4 linked regions of the Oryzias latipes genome follow. The protein of the gene in region 4 purifies or fractionates together with the protein of the main gene of each other region. This does not show direct contact. Links are inferred from orthologs where the notes say so. Each region holds a gene or a part of one and is shown on either strand. Other genes may lie near its edges.

What was found. Proteins that work in one complex are often made in the same cells at the same time.
Region 1: the proteins of fam96b (region 4) and cdkal1 purify together in Homo sapiens (affinity purification with mass spectrometry; 3 studies listed by BioGRID and IntAct, with this or other methods). This does not show direct contact. The link is inferred for Oryzias latipes from reciprocal best matches to the Homo sapiens genes CIAO2B and CDKAL1.
Region 2: the proteins of fam96b (region 4) and fbxl5 purify together in Homo sapiens (affinity purification with mass spectrometry; 3 studies listed by BioGRID and IntAct, counting the BioPlex papers as one, with this or other methods). This does not show direct contact. The link is inferred for Oryzias latipes from reciprocal best matches to the Homo sapiens genes CIAO2B and FBXL5.
Region 3: the proteins of fam96b (region 4) and ercc2 purify together in Homo sapiens (affinity purification with western blotting; 3 studies listed by BioGRID and IntAct, with this or other methods). This does not show direct contact. The link is inferred for Oryzias latipes from reciprocal best matches to the Homo sapiens genes CIAO2B and ERCC2.

What each region holds. Positions count from the first base shown.
Region 1 is NC_019874.2:11,054,142-11,061,386, forward strand, and holds the start of cdkal1 (threonylcarbamoyladenosine tRNA methylthiotransferase), read left to right. Parts: upstream 1-2,435; 5' UTR 2,436-2,572; intron 2,573-2,741; exon of another isoform or gene 2,742-2,765; intron 2,766-3,233; 5' UTR 3,234-3,397; intron 3,398-7,054; 5' UTR 7,055-7,167; intron 7,168-7,245. UniProt on the Homo sapiens protein: Catalyzes the methylthiolation of N6-threonylcarbamoyladenosine (t(6)A), leading to the formation of 2-methylthio-N6-threonylcarbamoyladenosine (ms(2)t(6)A) at position 37 in tRNAs that read codons beginning with adenine.
Region 2 is NC_019862.2:28,338,575-28,345,950, forward strand, and holds the start of fbxl5 (F-box/LRR-repeat protein 5), read left to right. Parts: upstream 1-2,566; 5' UTR 2,567-2,617; coding exon 2,618-2,701; intron 2,702-3,241; coding exon 3,242-3,457; intron 3,458-4,690; coding exon 4,691-4,786; intron 4,787-4,881; coding exon 4,882-5,077; intron 5,078-5,622; coding exon 5,623-5,808; intron 5,809-5,928; coding exon 5,929-6,054; intron 6,055-6,264; coding exon 6,265-6,419; intron 6,420-6,510; coding exon 6,511-6,593; intron 6,594-7,312; coding exon 7,313-7,376. Other genes in the region: vesicle transport protein SFT2B-like, read left to right, coding at 491-526, 644-702, 783-812, 904-943.
Region 3 is NC_019871.2:4,133,317-4,140,680, reverse strand, and holds the start of ercc2 (general transcription and DNA repair factor IIH helicase subunit XPD), read right to left. Parts: upstream 4,811-7,364; 5' UTR 4,640-4,810; coding exon 4,635-4,639; intron 4,457-4,634; coding exon 4,357-4,456; intron 4,240-4,356; coding exon 4,162-4,239; intron 4,094-4,161; coding exon 4,031-4,093; intron 3,960-4,030; coding exon 3,846-3,959; intron 3,770-3,845; coding exon 3,653-3,769; intron 3,566-3,652; coding exon 3,449-3,565; intron 2,750-3,448; coding exon 2,626-2,749; intron 2,550-2,625; coding exon 2,453-2,549; intron 1,916-2,452; coding exon 1,782-1,915; intron 1,717-1,781; coding exon 1,548-1,716; intron 101-1,547; coding exon 1-100. Other genes in the region: cdc42 effector protein 2, read right to left, coding at 6,612-7,364. UniProt on the Homo sapiens protein: ATP-dependent 5'-3' DNA helicase. Component of the general transcription and DNA repair factor IIH (TFIIH) core complex, not absolutely essential for minimal transcription in vitro.
Region 4 is NC_019873.2:4,895,260-4,902,543, reverse strand, and holds the start of fam96b (mitotic spindle-associated MMXD complex subunit MIP18), read right to left. Parts: upstream 4,623-7,284; 5' UTR 4,506-4,622; coding exon 4,379-4,505; intron 2-4,378; coding exon 1-1.

The DNA of each region.
Region 1 (7,245 bases), on a different chromosome or scaffold from region 4:
GAAGAAAAATCTCTGTAGATGAAGTTATGGCTGTTTTAGTCTAAAAACCATCATCTGTAATGTGTTCCTGCCATGTGCTATGGGGAAGAATTGTTTTGAACTGGGTACACCAATGGTCTGTGATTGAAGGCGTATACTGTTTTTATTGCTTATTAGGCTTGTTTGTGTGCAAATGTAGAGAAAAAAATTAGAAAGTAAAAAAAAATTTTTTTTTAAAGTATTTGCTACCCATCTATTATGACTGCAGGTAATAAACGGTTATGTGTGGAGAGCAGAGGTTTCTGTCTGCAAAAAGGATCCCACAATAGAGCGTTATAGTATTGTGCTCTAAACTCTTTTTTTTTATTTTTAATGAAGCATCGATAGTCGACGCTCTTTAACCACAGAGATTGCCATTTCTAGTCAATTTGTCCTAAAAGAACCTTCAAAACTTTTGTGCAATGATGGAGAAATTTTGCTTAGTTTACACTAGAAAAAGCCCCCTCCCCCCTGATGATGATGAGGATGTATGAACATCTCTTACTTCTGTCATTCAGGACTAAAATGTTGAGGCCTGTTGCCATGGTGACACTTTCTGTAACGTGATGATGAAGTTGGGTGAAAGGCTGTCCTGTTTAATATCTGTCCCTGTTTTTGTTTTGTGTTTTGGTTGAAAGTAAATGCATTGTAGAATGTTAAGCTAGCTTTATGGTCAGCTAAAAACGAAGGATCGCCGCTAAAAGAGACTCAATTTAAACACGGGGAATCATTTCATGGTGGTTCCCTAGAGAAACACGTCAGACAGGTAATCTTTCTGCTGCTAGTGTTGACTTTTACCCAATTGCTTTTGGCTTGAGCTGTTGTGTGTGTGAGTGTGTGTGTGTGTGCAGGGTAATTAAGTTATAACAGCTCCAGCTTGCAGAAGAGTTGGCTAGCCTGCAAGTTGATGTACAGTTTTCTATTTCTCTTGTTTTCCAACGCACATGGTACTATAGGCTACCTCTCACTAAATGTTGAGCAGCAGTTAGTGTGTACAGGGCAATGCCATTATGAGAGACGCTCTCAAGCCCCCACTTTTTCATAAATTCTGCTTCCTGTGAGTTTAGAATTTACACTCAGGTGTAAGAAACCACATGTAAGCCCCTTGTCGCACTGTGATCTATATATTTGTTCTTTTCGGAAGGATGGCAAAAAATATAATGTAATTCCTAAGAAATTTCATCTTATTTGTGTGCAAAGGTATTTTTCTTTTTCTTTTTTACTCTAGAAATGTTCTTACAAACACCCTAAAACTTATTATTTTTAAAGAAAAATCTAATACTGTCATCAAAAGCATCCCAACTTCTCGATGGAGCGAAAACTAGTCAAACTAATTTGAATGCACAAAAGTGTCCTCTTCTATGGACATTTTATTTTTTTATTTTTTTCCACAAACCGTGTGTGTTTTTAGGTTTAAGATGCATCCCCCCCCCCCCCCCCCACACACACACACATCTGGTTCTTGGACTTTAGTGCCACGCTTTACCACTTGTGTAGATAGAACTTTCTGCCATTTATTTCAAGCTACCAGAATCTTATTGAAATATTTTTGTGGTGGACATGGGAATTTTTGGAGCGATTGTAGTTTTTTCACAGATTTCCAATGGAATGTTAAAGATTTTAATACACCACTAAAGCTAGGGTTTTATATCATGAGTGAGTTGGTGTTTCTGCTTGTTTTTCCTATGGTATGACTGTTGCCAGGAGCTTTGTGGCAGTGAAAGAAGACTCCCAGGCTTTTGTTGTGGAGTTTGCATGCATTTCCTGGGTACTCTGGCTTCTTCTTGCAGTCCACAAGCGTGTGTATGATTAGGTTGATTGTGTAGTCTTGAGTTGTGAGTGCGTGCGGTAGTTGGTCTCTGTGTGGCCTTGTGATGGATTTTGGTGTCGGTGACAGCTGGTCTGCTGTGCTGCTGAACATTTAGGTGGCTATAGAATAAAAAGTTTATATTTGGGTCTTTAGAACTTGCATAAACTTAGTATTAGACTAAATCTAATAAAGTGTAATTCAAACTGAAGTGGCATTGATGGACACCAAGAAAAAAAAAGGAAAACAAAAACTCGTGTTAAACTCTACTATTCCATAGGAAATCAACTTTTCAGTAACATTTCAATATTGCTGCCTTGTTCAACCAAATTCAGAAACTTTACAGTCACGATGCATGAATGAAAAAGCTGAAATTTCAAGTAATTGTCGATTAGTTACAATTTTGATATCAGTTAAATGAGAAATTTAAGTTTTGTATGTGTGCGATTGAAAAGATTTGTTTTTGTACTATGGGTATTTGTTATTAAAAAAAATGAATAAAGGAAATATAAACTACAAATTGTTTTGTTTATTTCTTGTAGCAGTATTAATTTGAAGTCATTAAATCGCGCTCAGCATTTGAACGCTAAATTTTTGTCCCTCCCGTCTTTCCGTCTATTTCCGAGAATGGCGCAGGAGAAGTTGTGACAACTGTCCTGTGGTGTAAACAACAGCAGTTTATCAATTGGGCGCATATTTGACCCGAAGATTGGATTCATTGGACAATATAACCACATTACGATTCAGGTAATTTACACAAATAGTAGATACAACTCTTGTGTTTTACAACTGGTAAGGCACGTGGGCAAGCTGGCTAATGCTAACGGTTGTCCTATAAAATTGTACTACAGTTATCCGTGTTTTGACACAGGAATTGCATTCTAAGTTACTCAAGCAAGGGTAGTGCCGTTACTGACTTGCACAAATATCACATAAGAAGGTTGGAATAGTTTTTTTTAATTTTTTTTTTAGAGCCAAATCGTGTTTACCTGTTGTCTTTTTCAGTTTGGCTTATAGTAAGTTAATTTAGACTACGTTGACGGGATGACTAAAGAATTGTTTTGTGTTTCTTGTGTATTCTAAATATTTGTTATATGTTTTATATTTGGAATCGGTTACTTTAAGCAACCAAAACAAAAATAGAATTAAGAAGATAGACCACAGAAATGTATGTGTATATATCTTCACATAGGCATATCTAACTTAGGATGGTTGTTCATGAACTGATTAGAAAATGTATATTCATACTTGTACATGTAGATGTAAATCATTCAAATATAATTACTCTTAATCATAAATGCACGTGCTAATTTCAGATAAAATTCTTTGAATGATTGCTTTTAACAGAGCTAAGTTATCTCTGTGGATTCTGAGTCGTTCTTTATAGAGTCGAACTGTGATCTTTCAGATCATCATGCCTTCCGCCTGCGACCCCGTGATTGAAGATATTGAGGACATGGTGTCTTCCACGGACCCCACCCCCCATGAAAGACAGTCTGCGAGAAAGAACATCATACCAAGGCCCAAGAAGAAGAAAGAGCTTCTAAACGACGAAGAGCTCCAAGCTGACAGGTACGCCAGAATATGCTTCATCTGACTTCATCTGATCTGAGTTTGAAACTGACAGTTTCTAAAGATTGTACATGTAGACTGAAGGACTTCAAGTATTCATTAAAAATAGTGCGTACGTTTATGTTAAACATGGGCCCTGTGGTGTTTGTCTCTAGACTTTAGTGTTCGTGAACGGCCATGTCTGAAATGGAGGTATGTTTCAGGGTATGTCAAGTTGCCATGGCAACTCATGCTCTGAACATAACCTGGTCTGGAGCAGGTTTAGTTGAAGGTTAGTTGGTTTTCAGAGAGGTGAAGAAGCTTGGCGTGTCCATTTGAAGATGATTTAGTGGATGATGATGAAGAGTCGGTCAACACACTCTTAAAATGCATTTTAGACATTGAGTCATGGATGGCAGAGAACTTCCTACAGCTAAACCAGGACAAAACAGAGGTTTTAGTGATCGGTTCTAAGGACAAGAGAGAGATAGTTTTATCTAAACTAAAGAATTACAAAACTTCTCAGTGTGTGAGAAACCTGGGTGTCATTTTTGCCTCTGCGATGAATTTTATCCCACAAATTAAAAATATCACAAAAACAGGATTTTATCATCTAAAAAATATAGCCAGAGTCCGCCCATTTCTCTCTCTTGCCAGCACAGAGGTGCTAATGCATGCTTTTATTACCAGCAGATTAGATTATTGTAATGCTCTGCTCTCTGGTCTTCCCAGAACAAGAATAGCAAATCTTCAACTGCTGCCAAATTCAGCAGCACGCGTTCTGACGAGGACCGGGGGGCGGGGACACATTGCACCGGTTTTAAGATCGCTGCATTGGCTCCCTGTGCAATTCAGAATTGATTTTAAAGTTCTTTTATTGGTTTACAAATGTTTTTATGGTCTCGGGCCTTCATATTTATCTGACATGATTTTAAAGTATGAGCCCTCGCGGACCCTGAGGTCCTCTGATACAGGCCTTTTGGTTATCCCAAAAGTTAGAACAAAAACGTACGGCGAGGCCTCATTCAGTTTTTACGGACCTCGCCTGTGGAACAGCCTCCCAGAGAGCCTCAGGGCTGCAGAGACAGTTCATGTTTTTAAAGGAAGGCTTAAGACCTACCTTTTTAATTTAGCTTTTAGTTAAATTTTAGGATTTATTTATTTATTTTTTATTTATTTTTTTCTTTTAACTAGTTTTATATGTGTATGTAAATACATTTATTTATGTATTCTATTAATTTTTAAGTTGCTCTTACTATTTCATATGCCTATTAAGGTTTATGTAATTATTTGTTTTTTGTCCATGTTTTATATATACTTAAATTTTATTCCTTTTACATTTTATTACACTCCAGTGTTTCCCTCTGAGGGATCCTCCACATCGGTGACTGACCCTTCTCAGTGAACTGCTGCAGTGGGATCTCCTGGGTCTGACTCTTTTGATCGGATCTGGGGGGTTCTGTGGTAGTGTTCTCCGTGAACTTGGGTTGGGGGGTCGCTGATGTGGACATGTCCCCAAAATATCGTTTCCCCACTTCAGGACAAAGCTTGGTCTCTACATTCTATCATTTTATCACTTTTTTATTTATTTATTTATTTTTTGATGTGTGTGGGTGTGTGTGTGTGTGTGTTTTTGCGGGGTGGGGGTTGTCGCACGGTTTGTCTTGTCATCTTGTTTTCAAATTTTATTGTTTTTTATGCACAGCACTTTGAGTGACATATGTTGTTGAAAAAGTGCTATATAAATAAAGGTTGATTTGATTTGATTTGATTTGATGAAGAAGCTCAGATAATACTTTTTCCACTGTGAGAGGGTGATAAGACCACATATGGATGTTGGAAAAATAAACTATGTTGATCTAACTTAATTATTTGCTTCAGTTAAGATAATTAAAAATCATTTTTTTGTTAAGTCAGTTTAAAAATAACAATTTGTTTTCAGACAGTTATTTTACTTTCATTCAAATTAATTCAATTAAGTAGGTGTAACTTTGGTGCTGCTGTTAGATCGGCACCGCAAGGGATTGTGGGATACCATTCCCTTTGCCTCTCTGGACGGATTTGGGTTTAAGTGTGGGTTTTTGACCAAATGTGTTTAGTTGTTTAGCTGTTTTACTGTGTTTTGCCGAGTTACTTTGTCCCACTTTGCTCAAGTCTCTGCACCATGAGTAAGAGGGAGGGAGAGGATGATGAGTTTATATAGCACCCCTACAGCCAAATGATGTAATGACAATGTCGATGAATTCTTAAATGGATTTACTCTCCAAATGTGTATCGTTCTGTTCTTTTTATTGTTATAAAAATGAGCATATCTGCCGGCTCAAACTTAGACATTTGAGAGTTCAAGAATTATTATTCCTTAAGGTGGAAACAATAATAATTGAATTGGAGTAATATGACATTTAGTTAAATAAATCTGTAAATTTGAGTTGAATAAACACTAATTAAGTTTTATAGACCTAAGAAAGTAGGTTGAATAAATTTAACTCAATTACTTGTTACCAATAGTACCAAGTAATTCATTTAAGTTGGCAAAATTGGATACGTTTTAAATATATGCTTCACAAGGAAAATGGAAATAAGATCAGAAACTCGTGCGTTTACTTTGTCTGTTCTTCTACTACAAGCAAAACTCTTTCTTCTTCGGATGCAGCCGTTTTACTTTTTTGATGGACGTATAATCTTCATAGCCGTCATTAATCTCAGACTCAGTCTCACTGAAATATAGCGCTCTCTTTTTTTCACCACGCGTTTCCATGGTGACTCCAGAAATTGGCGTTCCATTGAGAAGGTTTTTATGTACTTGACGTGCACCCGCATTAACCCAGGGTTACCAAGTCGAGCGTAATTACGCCAACTCATATCTGGTCTTTTGGAACTGACACACCCAGAGTAAGCAAGTTCAGGCGGATTTCAGCCAGAGTTCAGGGTTAAAGTCAGGGTAGTTCAAACATGCTTCCTGGAATACCCCCCAGGTATCTTAGCTGATGTGGACGTGCCTCCCACACCACAAAGATCCTCTATAGCGACAGGCATCACACTCATATCATTTAGTCATGCTCAAACTCAGGCGGAAATGGTGCTAATGCTGTCGTCTGGAATCAACTTTTAAATTAGGCATTCCCTTGAACATTCAGTGATCTCCAATGAAAAACTATTTGTCTTCTTGTGAGACTAAAGTCGGTATTTCTAGAAAACGTGCTTCTAAAAATATTGACTTGGGCATTCTTGTCGTTCATGTATGGATTTATGAATTGTTTTCCAGCTGTAATTTTTTTAATAACACATATCTTATTATTTTATTTTCCTAGTATTAATGGACTCATTTTACAGATTTAATTGATCACCAGTAGGCCTTTCAGTAATTTCAGAACATCTACGAAAATCAGTTCTACAAAAGTGAGTGATTTATCAAATTGAATGCAGTTTGTCTGTATGACTTTCCCATCACTAAGCCTCTGGAAAGGACACTGCAGCGGTGCAGCTTCTCATCAGCTTTCAGTGTTTGTTGGGTTTAAGTTTTTGTTAAAAGCCAGAAAGAAATCTTTTAGATTCTCAAGCCCTTTTCCTATCGACCGCTCTGCAACGATGCAGTAAAGAGAAAACTGAATTCGAGAGGACATTAGTGTTTAAGGAGAGCAAAGATTAGATGAAGATCCCTGTTTGCCTCTGTTTCAGTGTAATTCCTGGCATGCAGAAAATCTGGATGAAAACTTGGGGCTGCAGTCACAACAATTCAGACGGAGAATACATGGCGGGACAGCTAGCTGCCAGCGGCTACAAGATGACTGGTAAGAGGATGTTTTATGTTCTGGCGCTTTGTACTGTCACACACCTGTTGTCCTGAGTCCAGACAGCAACAAAAAAGC
Region 2 (7,376 bases), on a different chromosome or scaffold from region 4:
AGCCTTGTTTGAGCAAAATAGATTCATTCTGTTTTATACCTGCGCGTCCTAGAAATATCAGAGGCTGCTCTAACATTTTATAAAGTATTCATGAAAAAATAAATTTTAAAATGTTCAGGAAAAATAAAAACAATAATTTCAGCTCAAGTATGTGAAAAAAAGTGTTTGTTTTTCTTCTAAAAACCAAAGTTAAAAATGATTATTTCATAGCATATAAAATGTTCAACATAAATTAAAATGTCAATGTGAACAGAAAGTTGTGTATTTTCCAAACAGGCACTTGATCCATTTGGTAAAACAGATCCACCTGTTGAATCTGTAGATGCTTCAAATAGTACTTTGGGATCATGGTGGATGCTGGACCTCCACTTTTGGAAGGAAGCTATTGAAACACATTTAGAATGAAAGAAAATATAGATTTTTAACATACGTAATGCTTTTTATGAGGACCAGATTTCTTTGTTGCTAATTTGGTTTAATATCTTTTCAGACGTGCCTTGTTTTGACTCTTTGTGCAGCGTTCTGGGTGAGTGATCTTCGTCGCAGCAGTTATAATGCCTTCTTCCTCATAATAATAATTAAAGTTTGTGCGCTTAAGGATTTGATGTCTGCCTTTTATAGAGTTTCTTCCTTTTTCTTTCAGTGGAAGAACTTCGGACTTGCTTTGCTATTTTGCATATTGCAGGTCTTGTCGTTTGCCTGGTGAGTCCAACCTTAAAAAAAATTCCAAAGCTGGAAGATTGTGCTCCCCTGTGACTTCAAATGTGTTTTTCTGTCTTCAGGTACAGTCTGTCATACATTCCATGTGTGAGGTTAGTCTTTCCTGTCATCATGTGTTCATATTAAACATGTATGTTTGCTATCAGCAGATTGAAGTTGACCAGTCTCTGATTTATTTTCCAGGGAGGCGCTCTTGAAGCTGGTTTCTCTCTTCCTAAAGTGACCTTTCCTTTGACGTGAAGGCTTGTGCTGCTTGAAGTGTCTTTGAAAGAAAAGGACCAGTCATTTGTTGAAGTTGACAATCTTCCTTTAGAAGACAAAAGTTGTTCTTTTATACACTGCAGAGTTTGTCCATTATTATTTAATTATTTCCTTTTTGTTAAAATACATTTTAAAAACCCTTACTTTTTTGTGCCATATGTGTAAATACGTGTAATAAATGTACATATTAAAGATTTTATAAATCGCCAGATAATAGCCTTAGTTTGATGACTGAGGGGACTTTCTGCATTCACAAAACCTAACTGTAAAAATTACATTTTTATTTTTTTGTTTCCACATTTTCTGAATATGTATTAACCTTTAGTCAGCCACTCATAAAAAGATTAATTCTGCAGTTTTACAGAGTTATGGGGCTGTGAAATATGCCTCTGCTTTTTATTTTTATTTTCATAGTTTAGTCATAAGTACAAGACGGTAATCCTTTACACAGGTTATTTAATGATTTAAGGTTTATTTATTTTGTTTGTCTCTAAGACACACTTGTATCTTACATGCGAGAAAAAAAGATTAGTTTTGCACGTAAAATGTGAGGCATCAAAATTCAAAACCTTGTCACAGTAAAGCTCATCAGGGATTTACTAAAAACAAATTCTGCTTAGGCGATGTCATAAAAAGGTGTTCCTTATAATAAACACCTCTGGTACTAAAAGAGTGGCTTGCTAAAAAAAACACAACAAAATATGAAACAAGTTAATGCAGCTGTAAAGAGCATTTAATTACAGTGGTGCAGGGTCAGATTCATGGTGAAATAATTGATTATGCTGTTTAACAGTCTGCAGCCTTTTCTCTTCCTGCCAATAACAAAAACAAAAGCGATACTAACTGTACAGCCACAGGATTTTTCCCTTGGGAACTAAAAAGACACTTTAATATTATCCCACGGGGTAATTTAGCCTTTTTTTTAACCTTGATGAGGAAAAAAATAGCATTTATCATGTGGCAGGACAGCAAATTTTACGCTATTAATAAAACAGAACATTTCAAGTGGGATTTGTTAATTTGTTTCGCAAGATGACCTGATGAGACCAGCCTGTGTAAATTATAAAGTGAACACCTTTCAACAAAACAATTTCAGCTTTTCAGTTAATATCCCAGATCAAAATGAGATTTATTAAATATACCTTTTCTGACATACTGACTGGATACACAACAGCACAGGTGTGCACTGCAACATAAATTCAATTTTACTATGATCTTTATTAAAACACAAATGGAAATATATTTATTTAGCCTGTATGTTAGAAAGAAAACGAAATAAACAAAAAAAACAAATTTAGATTTCACATGTACTACTGACAAATTTAAATATGTCATGTGTAAACGTATAATAAAAATAACGAATTTAACGAAATATAAAATATGAATTTAAATACAAAGAACGTTATTTAATGTAGTAAACAAATTTAAATGTCATCATTAATCTCTACACAGCATTACTTTAAAAACAACATCTTGCGTACACGTATACGCTGTTTTTTTCCCCACATTCAAAACGTAAATAATCTACAGCTGTTTGTGTGAGATCTGATACTGCGCAGACTCGTGGTCACGTGACCAACACCAGGCCCGCCCCCGAACCGAGTCTAGGCGCTGCAGATGACGCAGTCCGGTGAAGATGGCTCCCTTTCCAGAAGAGGTGGATGTTTTTACCGGCCCACACTGGCGGATGAAGCAGCTAGTGGGACTGTACTGCGAGAAGGTGCGTTTAGAAAACAAAAAACAACAACAAAAGAAGTGTTTTACGGGGTATTTTGATGGTTTGTGGTCAAATTAGGAGGGAACGGCTGCTAGCTTGTTTGCTAGCTTTGTGTTACGTGACCCGTCGCACGATTGTGTCACGTCTGCCTCGATTCTGTTTATTGTTACGTGGTGCTTACACTTAGATAAGTTCATCCTGGATCCTTACGGGTTTCAAAGTGATTTCCAGCAGATCTTCTATCAGTTGTTTTGTTAGCCGGAATCGCAGCAGGATTTGTTGTGCAACGTGTTGTTACGGGGCGGCCTCACATGCTTTAATTATCGGACACACATATTTTCACCCTTAAGCGTTAGTGCCTGTATTATCTCGCATCCAATGATATATATATATAATCTTCTTTATGTGATGTCGGCTGCGCTTACGTTAGCTGGTGTGGCTACATCAGTGTGTTCCTCCTCCCTTGTGGTAAAATCATGTGAAAAAGTTTGGGCTCCACAGTTTTTATTATTTCATTCGAGTCTGTTGTTTTTTCTTCCACAGCTGTCAAAAACTAACTTCTCCAACAACAATGATTTCCGCTCCTTCCTCAAGTCTCTGTGCGCGACCTTCAAGGAGTTCAAGATGCACGAGCAGATTGAGAATGAGTACATCATTGGCCAGCTGCAACAACGTTGCTGCACAGTTTATAACGTGCACTCTGATGACAAACTGTCAGAGATGCTGTCCCTGTTTGAAAAGGGGCTGCACAATGTCAAGGTAAATATGCCAAAAACCTACATTTCTTTCATGCACTCGATGCAACTAAATAACCCCTTCAGCAAATGCATGCATGCACCCGCTGATCCACAGTGTGTAGTAATCTGTTATTAGAGTAACTGTCAGGCTAACCACTAACAAGATACTAGAGCAACATCAGAGCTGTCATTTTGTTGGGATAATTATAATTTATTGAACAGACACGAACTTTAGCCTTTGAAGAACAGTAGATAAAAAGTTATTGTTTTGGCTCAAGCCTCCAGCAAACTCCAATCTCAGCTGCTTTCTTGGATTCGTGAATTTGTGTAAATTGGAACATCCGCTCTGCCAAACTCTCTAATATCTCTTTATTTAGTTTGGAGTGAGATCCTGCTTCCTGTCTGAAAGTTTCTACAGATATTAATTTGCAGCAGAGACTTATTTGTAAATTGTTGAAATATCTGTTTAAAAAAAAAGCACAAAACATTGAGTGTGGGAAGATTTGACTCGTATTCACAATCTCTGATCATCTAAAAGTCTAGCTCCTGTGGCAAACCATTGGGGAGAATAAATTCCAATTAAACTTTTCTTGTTGCAGTACACCTCAAAGAAAAAATAAAACAATAAAAATAATTGTAAAAATAGTGCGATAATAATAATAAAAGCCCCCAACACACATTCGCAGGATACAGAAACCAGCAGAGATACAGTCCATGAATCTGTATTAAAACATGTGGAAATGTAAAACTTACTTGTAAAACTTAAAAGCTAAGCTGAAAAGATTACTTAAGGTTTATCTTAAAAACCTCCACAGAGGATGCAGCCCTTGCATCAGTAGGCAGGCTGCTTCACTGGTGAGGCCCACAGTGCTGAAAATGTGGGCTTGCCATGGCTTTTTGTTCTGACCCTGGGGATCACCAGCAGACCTGCACCTGAGGGCTCTAGGATGGTTATAAACTAACAGTTCAAATTCTATTAGAGACCCAGCCCGATTATCCTTGGTCTATTTTGAAAGTGTTCCCGGTGGTCTTTTAACTATAGTTATGCAGGTTTTTTCTTTACAATATTGGAGCTGACCGGCTGTACAGTCGTGAGCCGGAAGCCAGCTCAGACGAGGAAAACAAAGAAGTTAAATTTTCCTTGCGCAACTTTTAGAATCATGCAAAATACCTAAAGCGTGGTAAACGTCTGCTTATGACTGTCCAAGAGCAGCTGATCTAAGATCTGGGATTTCTGTCTGTTCTGTGGTTTTAGAATGAATGTGAGCAGCTTAACTATGCTCGTCAGCTGAAGGAGAGACTTGAGGCGTTCACGCAGGACTTCCTGCCCCACATGAAGGAAGAGGAGGAGGTACAAGATAATCATGCGGGATAAGCAATAATCAAAAATGTCACCTGTTCATCCTTTTCAGCGTCAAGCTGTGTTTTAACGGAAATGTGTTGCAGGTGTTTCAGCCGATGCTCATGGAGTACTTCACCTACGAGGAGCTGAAAGACATCAAGAAAAAGGTGATAGCCCAGCACCACAGCCAACAGCACGGGGACTGTGCTGCCGGTGTGCTGAAGGGATTCCGTCTGTGGTCGCAGGCTGAGGAGCTGCAGAAAGCCTTTAAATATTCGGATCATGAGAAGACAGACTACGGTGAGTGTTTGTCCAAATGACTAAACTTGTTACAGGTTTCCAGTTAAGTGCATGACAAAGATGAGTCAAGCGTCTGTTGAAGGCCACACACTTCTTTTTTTGTCTTATCTTCAGTCATGTTTTAAAAAGGCTTTTTATGTAATCCAGCAGAGAAACAGTTTTTTTTTTAAATGAACAGCAACAGATAGATATTATGACCCGTTACCAAAATATGAGACTAGTTAAGGCTTTATTTGGGGTTAGTTGTGTTCAGCCCTCTAATGAACTGATAAACTGTCCAGAGTGGAGCCCAACCATAGCTGGACAGGCTCCAGCATCCCTGTGACCTATGACAGGATTAAGCAGACATAGAAAATGAATGAATGGATGGAGTTGTGTTCGTCTGTGATAGGAAACACAATTAGCAGGATACTTGAAGCCTTTTTTTTTTTGCTGTAAAATACCAACAATATTTGTACAGAACATGGATTATTTTGAGATAATTTTATCATTGTGGTATTTAAAACATTCACATGCTCTTCTTTTTTTCCCCCCTCCATCCTCAGACCTGGAGAAGAAGCAGAATATGTCAACCAACATCTCACACCTTCCTGCAGAAATAATGCTGAGGTTGTTCCATTATTTGGGCCCTAAGGATCTGTGTCGCTGCAGTCAGGTGTGCAGTTTGTGGTGGCAGCTGGCCAAGACCGGCTCTTTGTGGAGGCACCTTTACCCTGTTCGCTGGGCCCGAGGTAAACCTCAATTCATGGTTTTCATCTTTTCTTTTTGAACCAAGTAGTTGTTTTTCCTGGTAAAGATGATCTTGTAGATGCTTAGGCATCCTTGTTTCTAAAGTTTTTTTTAAAACACAGGCGATCATTATAATGGCCCTCCTGGGGATCTGGATCAGGAGCCAGATGAAGAGTGGGTGAGGAGTCGAGAGAATGAGGGTCGAGCTTATCAGAAGTGGGACGAGGACGCTGATATTGACGAGTCAGGTGAGGGCCAATAATCACTTCAAACATGCATGAGCTGAACGTTACCAGGGTCATGTGTGTGTGCTGTGAATAGTTTCATCATGACTATTGTTTTTTCCCCGGGTTTGAGTGGGGAAAAAAAAGTTCCAATGTTGAAGGTGGATGGACCTGCAGTGTGTGGTAGTTTATTGTGTTCATGAGGTAGTGACTAGATAGTGTTCTTCTCGTCAGATGTTTCGGGTCACACAGAGGGCTCGCTTGCTATCAATATGGTGCAGAGAGAGAAGAAGCTCCTGAATGGGATCATCCAGAACCTCCTCCCTGCTGTGGGTCCGTCAGTCAAATCCATTATTCTGGCCTACAGTTCAACAGTCTCAAGCAAAATGGTATGCGGCGCTTGTCCAGTCAGAGTTGCATTGCTGCCATGAGATTTGATGGATGTTAAGCTGAGCCTGAAAGCTTAAATGTCTTTTCCAGGTCCGTCAGATGGTCAGCCTCTGCCCCAACATCACTCATCTGGATCTGACTCAAACTGATGTGACAGACTCTGTGTTTGACAGGTACAAAATACTTCCTTTAAATTAGAATCTGGTTCTGTGGATTGAATGGCGACAGAATTGACTTCATTTGGTTGGAGCTGGAAATAAATCATTTTCTACGGATGACATCACAGTCAGTCGGACCACTTCTTCAGGGGTCATCATTACATCGATTGCGATAAAGGACATGTGGGTAGATCACGCGCCATCATAGATAAAAAAATCCCCCAAATTTAAATGTATATAATTAAATTAGCGAATCAAAATCCTCTCCAAGAAGTATATGACTTGATTGACATGCAGAAAGGCCAATAGAACACCCTCTGATACATGCATCACTCCACACGTGTGTTTAAATACACTGAGAACATTGTTTCTGCCCCACGGCGCGTCAAGTCCCCGGCAGAGGACCACTCTCGCCCACAGGAGTGTTAGTTGAGGCCCGGGTCGCCCCGCGTGCCTCTTCGATGGCGAGCGAGACCGTCTGACTAGGCTGTCCTGCCCCTGCAGCTGCTGCCGGCTCCGTGGTTCCCGTATTATTATGTATTACTACACAAATAATATTACACACAACAAAGCTATCTCTTCATGAAGATGTAGTTTTTGAATTTTCAACGATATGTACTAATAGTTCACAATACTATGTCATTAGATAGATATTAGAAATATACCGTACATGTATGTGGATCTGTGTCTGCGTGGAACTCAGAACACTGAGCTTTGTTCTCATTTTTCTCCAGCTGGTCATTCCTGGGAGCTTGTCGTTCTCTGGAGCACCTGGATTTGTCGGGATGCGAGAAGATC
Region 3 (7,364 bases), on a different chromosome or scaffold from region 4:
GAGAGTCGCAAAGTTGGAGATGAGGGTGACGGCGGAGAAGTCTGCGATGTCTGCGATCTCCAGAGTTCGCAGCAGCGACTGAAGCCTTTCTGCGCAAAACCTGAGCAGGCGAAGGAAAGAAATAAATAAAGGTGAGTGGTGAAGGAGGAGAAACGGAGCTCCCTAGAGGTTTTCACAGAACGGTCTGATGTCCGTTTGTGGAAAATAAACACGAAAGAATAACTTCAAGATTCTGAGGGCGAGAAAAACATCATCACAGGATGAGACGAGTCGGTTCTTCTGCTGCTTTGGATTTCTGTATAGACAGGATTAAAAAGTCTGTCACACAGCAACTACATACATTTTGTGCATATTGCACAGATGAAAATTGGTCATATGTGTGGAAAAAGTGAGAGAAGTTTGAGTCTTTAGGTGACATTTGCACAGATGTATCAGGAATGAACCACGCTAATCAACGTAGAGCATGAACCGTGTGATTATTGAGCTGTTTAGATGCAATTCGTTAGTGAATTGTGGGTCAATTACGCTATTTTAATGAGATTTGTGCGCCGTATACCTGATATATATATATATATATACTGAAAAGTCCGTTAGACATACGTGGAACGGTCGCGGAAAGCAACAAATCTGTGAATCTCGCAAAAATCACGCACAGTTGTGTAAGATTTATGTAATAATTTAAGATACGTAGAAACTGTGTAATTCTCATCCAGCTCAAAACCAAACTCTGGTAAAAATCCATCGGCTGAAATCCTTGACTGACGTCTGCGCGCGTCGACAAATGAGGAACACGAGAAACTCCCATCACGTATGAACCACGAAAACGTCCACAGCGGCTGTGAGACACGGCCGATATTAGATGGACAGGACAGACAGATTGAGCTCCAGAACGTTTCCACAAATCGATTCTCACAAACAGCAGCAGCAGAAACGCATGCAGGTTTTTTTTAAACCTTTTCACAGCTGAGCGTTAGCTCCAATCTTTACATTTCTTTGACTACCTTAACTCTTCAACCGTTTACGCAATGATCGTAATTCCAGCGGATTCTGGTGCGGTGAACAGAAGTCTTGTGCTGACATGCAACACTTTATACAAAAAGGTCGGCTCTTTGTGGGCGCCGCCTATGTGATGATGTCATCCGAGACGCCTCGGCAGAACTTTTGCAAAGATGGACGTGCATATGTTCATAAAAAAGGAAAGCGTTTAGACGATCACCGCTAGCTCCACGGAGAAAGTGGGCGTGTGTGTTAGCCTGGGGGCGGGGCTGGCACTGCAGACTCTTCCTGGAAGGGGCTGGTCCTCACTTTGTGATGTCACAATGCGAAGACCCGCCCGTTTTCGTTGGTTGGGAGGAGCTGCAGGTTTTTAGAGGAATGCTCAGAAATGCGTAAACGGACCAACATACTGTTTATTGTGAGGAATGAACATTAAAATACACCTAAAAGTTGGTTTTGAATGATACCGACGCTCTAAATGGTGAAACAGAAAATCCGTGTTTCCTGAGAAAACTGCGGCCCCTCCCCCGTGTGACCTGAAGCCGACTGACCTGAGAGGTTTGCGGTCGATGCAGACCTTCTCGAAGATGTCTTTAAGGAACTGGGGAGCGCTCTCCTGAACCACATGATGGACCCGCAGGCGGGACTTCAGGTACTCCAGGAATCGCCGCAGGAAGCCCAGGAAGTGCTCGGCGGTGCGAATGGAGCCGGGGACGGCCTCTGGCGGGGAGAAGCGTTAGTCTGAGTTCTGAAACCAGAACCCCACGGCCAGACCGAGCTCCAACCTTGCAGGATTTCATCAGGTAAAACCGGATTTGCCAGGTAGACGTCCGTCTCCCTGGCAACGTTGGCCTCCTTCAGCCCTTCCACCAGCCGCCGGTACTCCTCCCTCAGCTTGGCGGCATCCGTGTCCTTGATCCTGCAGATGAGAACGAATCGGATGAGAGGAGCTGGAATGAAGCACACATGACCGATTCCTGAAATTATTTAACAGAAATTCTCAGATTATGGTAATAAAAACACGCCTATTTGCTTTTATTTCTCCATATGGAGGACCAGCTGATTAACCGACACTTCCAGGATGAAGAAAAAATCCTTGAACCTAGAGGCAGGAAACTTCAGGATTTTTCTCTTTAATTCAGTTTGGATCAAACAGAAGCGTCTTATTTTTCCACCCAAAGATGTTTATAGAAATAAGAAAAAAAACAGTTTTGACTCCAAGCTCTGATGTTTTCAGAATCAACATTTGAATTTGATTTCCTTTCATAATTGAGCTTTTTTTTTTTTTTAATATGGATGAGTCTGATTTATGGTTAATGACAAACAGAAACTCCATTACCCACAATTCCTGGTGCCATTAGGGTTTTACAGCTCAAATTTTTGGGGGTTTTAACGCAGAAAACTCCAGATGTTTTTCGTCCTGGTGTGGATAAAAGCAGACTGGGCTGCGTCTCACTTCTGGATGGTGTGCTGAAGTGTTTCCACGTTGCTCTGACAGCGGTCCAGAGTCCTCCTGGTGATGTTCACGCTCATGGAGTCGATGCAAACGTTGTCTGAGGAACGAAGCGGACAAAAAAAGATGAAGGGGAAGAAAAGAAAAATGAAACAAACTAAAGAGAGACGGTTTACCGATGTTATGAGCTTCATCGAACACGACCACCGATTTCTTGGCGAGCTCTTTGGACACCAGATCTGCGATCTTTGGGTCTAGGAGGTAGTGGTAGCTGTACACCACAATGTTGGCGTGAAGAATCTTAGGACAGAAAAATGAGATTTTAAATAGAAAAAAAAAACATGAAGTTAATGCCAACAGTCATTAAAAATCACAAACTAAACATGAGTTTGGATTATTTTCTTTGGTAAATAGTGACGTTTTTAACTTTCTCAAGAACACAGCCATATAGAAGCAGAAGGCAGAGAGAAGGTCACATGACTTGGTTCAGGTCAGAGGTCATGACTCTTTGTCATGACGTTTCTTGGAAGCTGTGGTCAAACTAAGGACATCAGAAGAGAAGTCAAGCATGGGGGTGGTTGTGTGATGGTCAGGGGCAGCTTTTCATCTTCACCGACTACTTCATAAATTTTAACTTCTTCAGGGAAAATCTCGAAGAAGAAAGTCCATCTGAAGCTCCAGAGCTCTGCGGCAGCATGAGGTTTGCTGAATGGATCAAACATCAAGTTTCTGTGACGACCACGTCAAAGTTTGGACTTAGATCGAACAGATTAACAGTCGTTGATGAAAAATCCTCCAGTCCTTTACAGAAACGGACTGACAGGTGTCTGAGCAACCTGACTGCAGCTGCAGCTGCAGCTGCGCAGTTGGGCTGCTTTGATCTGGATTTTAATTGGAATTGGTTAAATGGACACAAAGGAAAACATTCTCCAGATCCATTCAGTCCCTGAAAGGGTTAAAGGTCAGGCACGTGCTGAGCGCCTCTGCTTGGTTACATACCGAATACCGAGCCAGGTAATAAGGACACCAGCCTTTTCGTCTGCCAAAGTCCTTCAGGTCGTCCAGGTTGTAGATGCCGGCAGGAAGGGGAACCTGCCGACCGACGGCGTCAAACTCCTGAGACACAAACCCAACATTCGCAGAGCTTCAGCCACGTTGACGTTCATGCGGTCCGATTTCCCGTAAGCTGAGGCGATTTTCTACCTCGTAGAAGCGGCAGACAGGCTGGTCGGGGTTGCTGTGGCGCTGAGCCCGGATGTAGGACGCCGTCAGGCTGTGGCACTTCCCGTCTACCTCCTTCCCAAAGCGCAGAGAGCTCACCTGATGGACGAGGGAGCTTCCTGTTTGATCAACATTTCCAGAAAGCACGGAAACCCTCAGCTTTCAGGGTTTTTACCTCAGGATGGATGCAGAGATTTTTCCTGGAAGACAGCGCCAGAGCCAGGAAGTTGTTGACTTCTCCGGTTTCTTTAGCGTAAAACTCCATCAGCTTCCTCAGCTCCTCCACGACCTAGATGAGCGGAGGACTTGAAAAGCTCCTGGAGATTTGCTCGTCGTTGGCTGCGGAGGGGTCAGACTCACCTTCTCGATCTCAGGAACTGTCCTGGAGCAGTAGATTAACTTGGTCACATCCAGCGGGAACGCCTGAGAATCAAATAAAGCTTAGAGCAGCTGTCGCCATGAAGGCTCAGAAGGTGCAGAGCTGGACTCACCTTCTGATAGGCCACAATGAGGGACAGCAGGGAGATGGTCTTCCCTGTTCCTGAAGGCATCTCCAGTACTCCATGACCCTGAAACGCAGACACAACACAGTCACTTCACCGTCTCCAGTGAGTTTTCCTGGTTTATGAAATTACCGCACTACATTTCCCAGAAACCCATCTAACACCCGAGTGAAAGAAGCCCACCTTTGCGTCCAGGGTCCTCTTCAGCTCCAGCATGTAGGAGTACTGCTCCGGATAGATGTAATCATACGGAAAATACACCAGCAGACCTTCTATGTTCAACCTGCGACCAAACAGCAAACAGACTGAATAAAACAGCCCAATGCAGACACACGCAAACACTTTAACAGACGAAAAACTTTTCTTTGCTAGCTCTGTCAACACAAACCAAACATTAGCATTAGCATCAACACGTGCTGGTTTAGACTTTTTGTTTACGTCACAGTAACAAAAGAACTCACTTCATCTTCTAAAGAGAAACTTTCCAAAAACTTTCGTCTTTGATTTACGACAGATTGGTCCTTTTAAAGTGAACAGATTTAGGATAACTACACAGAGAACACCAAAATGTTAACGACTTCTTCTTCTTCTACTGTTGTTGTTGTTGCCGGCGTTTCTAAACGCTCTACCACCTGCAGGCAGGAAGAAGAACTGCAGGAACATTAAGAAGAGTCACATGCAAAAGGCATTCTTTTATGGAAGCATTTCTGTTGCACAATTCAAAAACAAAAGTCAAAACCAGAAATGCTTTTATTTTTGAATTATGCAACAGAAATGCTTCCATACTAAATAAAGCCCCTCTGTGAAACATACGAAAAAAAGTCTCTTTGCCTGTAATGTGCATTTTCCCCAGCAGAGGGCAACAATGTTCAGCTCCTGCTCAAACTTCAACCAGCGTTAGAAAATGTGACGTCAGACCCCTCAATGTTTTGATTTTTTCTTTTAATTTCAGAATTTCATTCTTTTTCAAATATTAGTCTTGTATTTTAATCGACAAATATAAGTCGAAAAATTGTGTTAAAAATCTAAAATACGAAGATGATTACAGGAGATTATTTGGTTCTAATGTTCTGTTTTTAAATTGAAAAAGAAGTTTCTCTTTTTTTGTCATCTTTCCTTAAATGAAAAAAATAAGCACGCCATTGAATTCAGAATTCAAAGTTAGGCATCAGTTTTTAACTCTGATGAATATTTTTACACTAATGTGGGGATGGGTGCTGTTTTTACACCCCTGTTCAACAATTTTGGTTATGCAAGTCTTGTGTGCGCCTGTCTGTGTGCATTTGAGATAAATCTATCGAGCCATTTTTATGCACCCGTGCCGGTCTACCACGTAATACATTCATTTATTCTAATACATTTTCGCAACTTCTGAGACGTGTGCAAAAATTGGTTAGTTTTTTAAGCCTCAAATAGGCGAGTCTTTACTCGGAATAATAATAAACATTTTAAAAACCATAGAGTCCTTGCAATCCCTCTGCTCGGGCCCTAATGTGTTTATTTCACTGCTTTTTATTTCAAAACTGCAGCTTTACACTACGGCCATCAGAGGGCGGTATTTCATCAGCATTAAAGTCCATTTCTTATATTAATCCCATTTTGTTGCAAAAACCAAAATGTAAATAAAATAAAGTGTGATTCTGTTAATCTAATAAAAGCGATTTACAGAGCAACTACTGACACCTTTTCTATTATTTTCCAAGAATTTAAATGAACATTTAACAAAGTCATGAAGATTTGTGCTCAACTTCCACATGTTTATGACATCCTTTGTCCATAAAATGTGCACCGATTGGTTTTAGTTGGAAAAATAGCTGAAACTCACCTCAATTAGGCTGACTGGTCCTATTGCAGGATTTCAAAATAAAGTCACAGACTATATTTAGATTTTCACTGCATGAACATTTTACTGCTGTTGTTGATTCTGATGCTGCTGTTATTTTTTTTTTGTTCTTAATGTTTTGTTATGCGTGAAACTCGTCACACCGTGTTGTTTTCATCAGAATCCTTTAATTCAAAGATTTACAGAGATATATTTACAGCATTTCAATGTTGGGAACATGGATATTTAAACACAGAATTTTCTCTTTTTTTTTCTAAAAAAAAGTTCCGTATTTGAGTCTAAAAGCAGCAAGTTTCTCACAAGTAAAGCTTCTTCATCATCAGTCTGAATAAAATGTCCTGAGGTTTTTTTTTCCAAAAACAACCAAAACAAAAAGGTGCTGCTGCTGCTTGAGGATCCGAGTGTCGTGATGGAACCGAAGAACAAACCCAACAGAACCTTCATCGTTTCTCTGAAGGCTTTCGTGGAAGAGACCTGCAGCAGAATTGTCTGAGGAAAGCCATCAGTCTGGAGATTAGCAGGAGGTTCTCAGGCAGAGGAGAGTCCAAACAGAGGGGAGGGAGTGTTCTGATGATGGGGATGTTCTGGAGGAACCTCACAGCTCGCAGCGGTTCTCCAGACTCTTGTAGCGCTCCATGATGCTGAGGACGTCCTCCAGGATGGACGGGCCCAGATCCAGGTCTAACCCGGAGATGGAGTTGGATCTGGAGACGTGGTTGGAGGCCGTGAGTCCGGCGGGATGGAAGGCGGCGCTGGGCGACTCGCTGCGCTCGCTCCGCAGGTCCTCGTTGCTCAGGCCGGCGTCGGAGTCCAGACTGAGGCCCCGCCGGACGTCCGGGGGCCCGCCGCTCTCCGACATGGAGTCCTCGGAGGAGGCCTCCGAGAAGGACCCAGAGGACGGGACGAGTCTGCGGATGGCGTGCGACACCGATACGTCACGGCAGGGATCCGGCGCCGTGCCGTTCCCGCACAAGGATTCCTGCTGGGGAGGCAACGATGTGGGGGAGGAGTCGTCCAGGTGCAGGCGGGGCGGTTTGGGTGGAGCCTGTTCGTGGGCGATGAAGACGGGCATGGAGATGGTGGTCTTCAGCAGGCCGCTGGAGGAGTGCTGGTAGTGGTAGCCGTTGTAGGCGTAGCTGTGCGCCTCCTCCTTGTCGGGGAGGTCATCGCCCGCGTGGCGCTCCGCACTGTGCGAGCGCCCGTTCGGCCCGCGGCTCAGGGACGGGAGCATGTCCATCTTCCCCCGCAGGAAGCCCACGTCACCAAACATGTCACCCTCGCCGTCGGGCCCCACGTGGGCGCTGTGGCGAACGTCGCCCAGCGGCGGGCTGATCATGTCACCGGACAG
Region 4 (7,284 bases):
TGTGGACAATAGTTAAGGAACACAGAAGCAGAAAGGAACACGTCTGCAAACCCAAACCAAACTTTGCTTTTGAATGATTTAACAAAACCCCTTCTAAAACAAACAGAACCGGGCCTGAATTATTTTATTTATTTATTTTTTTACTTGTCCTGTCCAACAGCTAGGCAGGCAGATGAGAGCTGAGGGCCTCTTGTGTTGGACATATTTTACTTTAACAAGAGGGGTTATTAATCTTCAGATAAACCAAAGGTATGTCTGAATAAACCCCTTTTGTAATTGAGGCCAAACTTTATTAATTTCAATCATGTTTGAAAATCTTTGGTGTTGGACCGGACGGAAAAGGAAAGAGGTGAAGAAGAGAGAGGGACGTTAGAGAGGGGGGGGGGGGGGGGTAGGAGGGTGATAATAGGAGGGGAAGGGGGGTAAGACCATGAAGCAGCATAGAGCAACAAGTTTACTGGTTGTTAATCATTATGGTAAGGTTCAAATGTAGTACAAAAAGGGCGGGGCCTGTCCACACACAGTCAAATGTTATAAACACACCTGCTAGCTGCAAAAATGTCCACCTGTCGACATGTACACAAAACAGATAGTGTTCACACGCATACTTATGCCTTAAAACCAACTAGTGTGAAATATTTCAGTCATTCAATCGTGCAAACTATTAGCCCAAAGGTGAGCTAACACCTGTGCTCAGGTGAGTGTTTATGTTCTGCTAAAATGGATGGTGGAACGTGACAAGAAGGAGGGAGAGTGCCCAGCCATCCCCACCCCAAGACCCCCACCGCAGCAGCAGCGGCAGCCGAAATCCCCCCAACGCCACACGGGAACCGGCAGGGAACAACCGCCGCCCGGGCGACCAAGCCCGCCACCCAGGCCAGGGCCAGCAGGACCGCCGCAAGGCCCCCAGAGCCAGAGAGCAGGGAGGCACGGAGGGAAAGAGAGAGAGCGCCGCCCCAGCCCAACCAGGAGAGCAGCCCCCCCCGCCGCGCCGGGAGCGCCCAACGCAGGGCCCCACCGGAGAAGGACGCCCACAGCCCCAGACGAGCACCCCACCACCACCCAGGAGTTCCGGGCATCCCCCCGCCCCTACCCCAGGTACGAGCCAGGACCCCCCAAGGCAGACCCGCTCCGCACTCCAGGCAGCCATCCGCCCGGCCCACGGTTGGTCCAGGGAGGAGCAAGGCAGGGGCCCGCCGCCCCCGCCCAGGAGGGGGGAACCCCGGGGAAAAAAGGGCGGCCCACAAGGGGTGTTATAAATATGGCCCGACCAGGCTCGGCCATGTTGGAAGTTTGGCGGGGCCCAGCGCTCAGGGGCAAGGACCAGGACCCACCCCCCAGGGACACGAACACCCCCGGCTCAGGTGTAATATGAACCCCCCCACCGTGCGGAGAGAGCACCGCCGGGCCCAGGGAGCCAGCACCCAAGGGACACGGCCGCCATCGCCAAGGGGCCCGCACCCCCCACCAGGGAAGGGGCAGGGGACAGATGGACCCAGGTCCCACCTTCCTTGCAAAATGTGTGTATGTGTGTTTGAAAGGGTGTGTGTGTGCATGTGTGTGTGTTTATGTTGGAATGTATATATTGAAGGGGGAGGGGTGTGTGTACTAAGGGGGGTGCAGTTAAAATTGGCGAGAAGGGCACTAAGGGGATCTCCTAATCATCATCTCCTGATTACTCACAGTGATGTCCCCTCACCCTCCCCACCAAGGGGCCCTAAATGTCTAAGGTGCGGTTAAAATTGGCGGGTAGGGTGCCAGGAGGACATCTGCTGCTTGCTGGCAGTGATGTCCAAGCACCCCCCCTACCAAGGACCCTACATGTCTAAGGTGCAAATAAAACCGAAAGAGGGGGGGCCCACTCCGTACGGCAACCATAGGAGGGGGGCCACTGCCAAGTAGCCCCCCCCCCAAGGCGCATCGCAGGCTAGACCCCCCACCCCCTCACCCTAATATGAGGTTATATGAGGAAGGGGGTAAGTTGGGGACAGCTGGTAGACTGTCCCCCAGTGGTCAAACAGCTGTCCCCCAGCCCCCCCCCCAGCAAAGGGGCCAGGGCCACCCAGCCCAGGTGCCCCACCCCCGGAGGCGCCGACACCCCAGGCCCAGCACCACCCACCCCACAGAGAGAGAGAGGAGCCAGAAAGCGTCACCCCCCCCCCGGAGCAAGCCCAGGCCCCCACCCCCAAACGCCGGCCCTAGAAGAGCCCTGGTCAGGCCTCGACGGGACCGAGGCAGCCAACCGGCCGGGGAAACCGCCGATGGCCTCAGCGGAGACCCCGACCCGTCAACCCCCCCCGGGCCTGAATTAAACTTATGGCTCCATGAGAAAAAGACTCGAAATAGTTGGAGTAAAGAAAAAAAAAGATTCTGCAAGTTGTGCCACCTAAAGAGATGAGTTTAGACTGTATTGTTCATCAACTGAGAGAGACAGAATCTACAAAACAAAGAGGGAAAAATAAATTCACAATATGATTTTTAAACAATGTATTTGTATAATGAAATGTGTTCCACTTGTTACCTGTATTAACTGGTGATCTGTATAAAAAAATACCTGTCCACACCCTTAAACAGTCAGACTGAGACCTCTCCATTATGGATAAGACCAAAGAGCTGTCAAAGGACACCAGAGACACAATTGTAGACTTGGAAGAAAAACTGGAATGAACCAATCTACAATAAAGAAGCAGTTGATTGTAGAGTAAATAAACGCCACTCGCTGTGTTTGAGGGTGAAAGAATGCTGGGTTGAGTCCCAAGCATACCATACCCACTGTGAAGCATGAGGGTGAAACCATAAAGAGGACAGGGGGACTGATCCATATGAAGGAAAGGATGAAGTCAAGTGAGAACGTGAGCGAAAACCTCCTGCTATGAGTGAAAACGCCAAGGATGATACATGGATGGCTCTGAGGATCCCAAACACATCACCCAGGAAACCAGCAGATAAAAAGCTTTTGAAGGTTTTGGAGGGATCTAGCCCGTCTCTGGACCTCAGTCCAACAGAGAATCTGTGTTTTCCAGCTACAGCTCCACATCATCACATCAGCTCTCGAGAAGATCTGCATGGAGGAATGGGCCAAAATAGCAGCGAAAGTTTGTTCAAATCTCATGAAAATCTAAAATGTTTGACTTCTGTCATTCAAAACCAGTTATGAAGTATTGGAACAAACTTTAATTATTGACTAAATGCCTATTTTCTGGATCATTAAACAAATAAATTATTTAAAAATCAAACTGTGTGATTTCCTGCCTTTTTTTACATTCTGTCTCTCACAGTTTAATTGTAGCTATAATAGACCTCATCTTTTATAGTATGACAATTTAAAGAATCCCCCCTCCTTACGCTACAACAAAACAACTGTTTCTCACTGTTTTTGCTGACAATTTGAAGAATTTAACTGTTTAAAAAACCCACATTGACGAAAATGGTGTTTTTAACACATTATTGTGGCTTTTTTCTCATGATGGAGGACATATATAGAGAAAATTAAGCTCAATTGCACGTTTCTGAATAATTCTATACTGTTTGGAAAAGATCGTATTTGTGATGTGGAAAATACGCGGGCCATGCCACAGTCCTCCTGCTCTGCTCCATTCTGATGCACCTGCAGGTCTGCGGGGGGGGGGGGGGGGGGGGGGGGGGGGGGTCAGGCTCAAGTCCCGGCTGGGTTTTCCTCCAGGAAGTCCAGCTTCCTCCCACCGTCTAAAAACATGCTTCATAGGTTTATTGGTCACTCGAAATTGTCCCTAGGTGAGAATGTTAGTGTGTGTGATTGTGGCCCTGAGACAGACTGGCGACCTGTCCAGGGCGTCCTTTGCCGTCACGGGATAGGCTCCAGCAGTGACCCCGTAAGGGACAAAACAGGTTTGTTTGTATGTCTTTGTTTTCCTCGTCTGAGCTGGACTCTGGATCTAAACTGTTCGACTAGAGAGCTTCATTATTACTCACCAGGTTTGTTGTGAGTGGTTGTAAGCTAGGGGAGAGCATGTAAACAGATGGATGACGGGGAGTGGAGGGGGGCTTTTTCCATGCCAACAGTCACATTTCTAATGAACTCCTGCTGCCGCTCTGAAGAAACTACGTCCCACAAAACGACACAGGTTTTCTGATTTTGTTTAAGAACAGTATAATCATTACTAAAAACCCACTGGGGACGTTTCAAAACAGACCAGAGGATGATCGGAGTGGGACTTTAAATGTTTTCAAGCTCCAAACCGCCCTTTTTATCAGATTTGTGGAATATATATGCCAAACTTTGTCAAATTGTGTAATCTTAAAATAAGAAAAAGAGATCCTGAGATTTCGTACAAATACCAGGGATTGTAACTAAAACGAATATTGTATTAAGTTGGTGCTTTTAAATTAAAAAGGATATCAAATATTTCCCGGTCGTCGATGGGATCATGGACGTCTTCGTCCTCGTCGGCCGCCGTCAGCTGCCTTTCCCCGGACCGCTGGAAGATGACGGGGTTAGCGTTCTCCAGCTGAGACCCTCCGGACATTTTTCACTATGTTCGTCAATCAGCACTAAACATTCAACTGCCCATGTATGCAGGCGGAGTCGTGTTGCTTTATTATGTCGACCTTCTCACAGAGCACTTCCGGGTATGACGGATAGCAGCAGCGGACAAAAAGCCTGCGAGGAAAATTAAAGTAACAAATGCTGAATGATTTTGTCCTAAGACCATCAGCAAACCCACTATTATTAGTTTAACGAATACAATTAATAACTTTGTTATTATTATTGCCTGAACTAAACCAATAAAAACGAATTTCGCAATGAGTTATCATAACTGCAATAGTACAGAATATCAGCTGAATACAATAACAAAATTAACTATGCTTTTGTTATCGGTCTAATTTCTACCAGTAGACAGACTTTTCATCATTAAAGCAGTGACAGTAATTGAGAATTATACAGTCAATGCATTAAAGGGAAACTTAAACCTGAAATGTAGATGCTATATACCGCCACCTGCTGGATGGGAGGGGATCAGACAGTCATAACTGGATCAAAGACGGAGGAGAAACTAAACTGTTAAAGTTCAACAGAGGCAAAGCCAGCCACTCTTTTCATTCACTCGTCATCCATCCCTCCATCTGTCATTAGTGTCCAATATTTATATATTGAATATATCCACTTTATTTATATAGCACTTTTTGAAATCCAGATTACAATATGCTGTACAATTAACATAAGACAGAATCCTGATTAAAAACAGTACCGGACGTAAAAATAAAACCCAGCACGAAACAGTGATAGCGTTAAAAATCAATAAAATCATAAGTTTAAATTTAAGAACCAGTGAAATCATTAAACGCACGCATATAGAGGTGGGTTTTTAAAAGAGATTTAAAACTGGTAGGTACTCAGTGAGCCTGATCCCTTGAGGGAGACTGTTCCAGAGTTTTGGGGCTCTTATAGCAAAGGCTCTGTCTCCCATGGTCTTCAATCTGCATTGTGGGATTGTTAAAAGGCCTTTTGCTGAAGATCTAAGATTGCGTCCAGGTACATAAGGAACAAGCAGAACAACCAGATACTTAGGGGCCGGACAGCAGAGGGCTTTAAAAACAATCATTAAAATCTTAAAATCTATTCTAAAATGGACTGTGAGCCAGTGCAGAGACGCTGAAACTGGAGTGATATGATCTCTCATTCTGGTTCCAGTTAGGAGTCTGGAGTTGATACACACTCTGCTGTGAAAGGCATGTGTAGAGTGCGTTACAATAGTCCAAGTGGGAACAAATTAAAGCGTGAATTACCATCTCGAGACATTTTTTTGATAGGAGAGGGGTTATGCTCTCCTATCTATTTTTTTACATAATATTTTAAGTAATTCATCTTTGTCATGTGCTTTATTGATACTTCAGGATTCTTAATTTATTACATGAGAAATCATATAATAAAATGGTTACGGTAGAACAGGGGTGGGATTATATAAATTCGCTTCCTTCCACTTTCAAGCAATAATTAATTTTATGTCTAATTATCCCAAGTTTGATACGTCATTGTGATTGCTTGAAATATATGGAGTGATATTTCTGCCACCAAGTTGCACACAAAACTTTCTATGTTGCACACAAAACTTTTTAAGTTGCACACAAAACTTTCCATGATGCAGGTGAAAATTTTGTTTTGCTTTCAAACTTTTTTTTGCTTTCGAAAACGTATTTTTTGCTTTCGAAAACGTTTTTTGCGTTTGCAAAACACATGTTTTTGCGTGCGTTGTGTCAAATCTCGCTTTTGTCTTATCTTTGATTTTACTGCCCACTTTGAGCGCGACTTAGCGTGATATGACTGCCACTGGTATGGAGTTATTTCAGTCTCAATAATCAGAAATGCACACAACCGGTTTTACAAATACACACGCTCCGATTCACAAATGTCATTTTATGCAAACGTGAAAAATAAATTCGGAAATACACACCCTGTGTTTCACAAACACACACATTGTGTTTCACAAATGCACACTAAATGTTTTACAAATGCACAATAAGTGTTTCTCACAAATGTGCACACTGTTTTTCACAAAAACATTTTAGAAATTCACAATAAATGTATCAGAAATGCACAGTAAGTGCTTCACAAACGTGATTTTTAGTTACACATGTGGTGTGAACTCACAGATCATGCTGCACACGTGTTTGGGATCAGATGAACAGCAATAATAGGCAAAAGAATTATGGCTCACCATAGTAGACTCAACGTATATAACAGAAGAGGCATTTTTAACTTTTATTATCATTTTGACAGTGTCTTCTGTTTTAGAACTTGTCCAAAGTTAAAAAATATTGGTCATAAAAAATGCTATTTTCTCTTAATATTTCAACAATTAGTGACTAAAATAAAACAATAGTTCAGATACAAATCTTAAAAAGTGTTGCTTCCCTGCTGGACGGAGTCGGAGCTCTGATATGTTTTTTTCTGCTGCAGACATTTTTAACACGTTGGTCGCTACACTGACATAAATAAATACAAAACTCTGCTCCTTCTGGGTTTTATTCTGAAAGAAACGGGTCAGAATGGTTGAAAACGGCAGAACCCTGTACGAACAGAACCGACACAAAGTCCAAAGTCCATGTCTGCCTCAGAGTACCGTCAATATGAGATAGAGACACTTGATTGGTTAGAATCTGGACCAATCAGCAGGCTGTTCGATGGCAGCTTTGTCACGTCAAACCGAAACTTAACTCAGCAAAGATAGAAAAAAAGTGAGATGACACACAACGCATGCAAATTTCTTTTTGGCGATGCCAGTGGCAGTCATATCACGCTAAGTC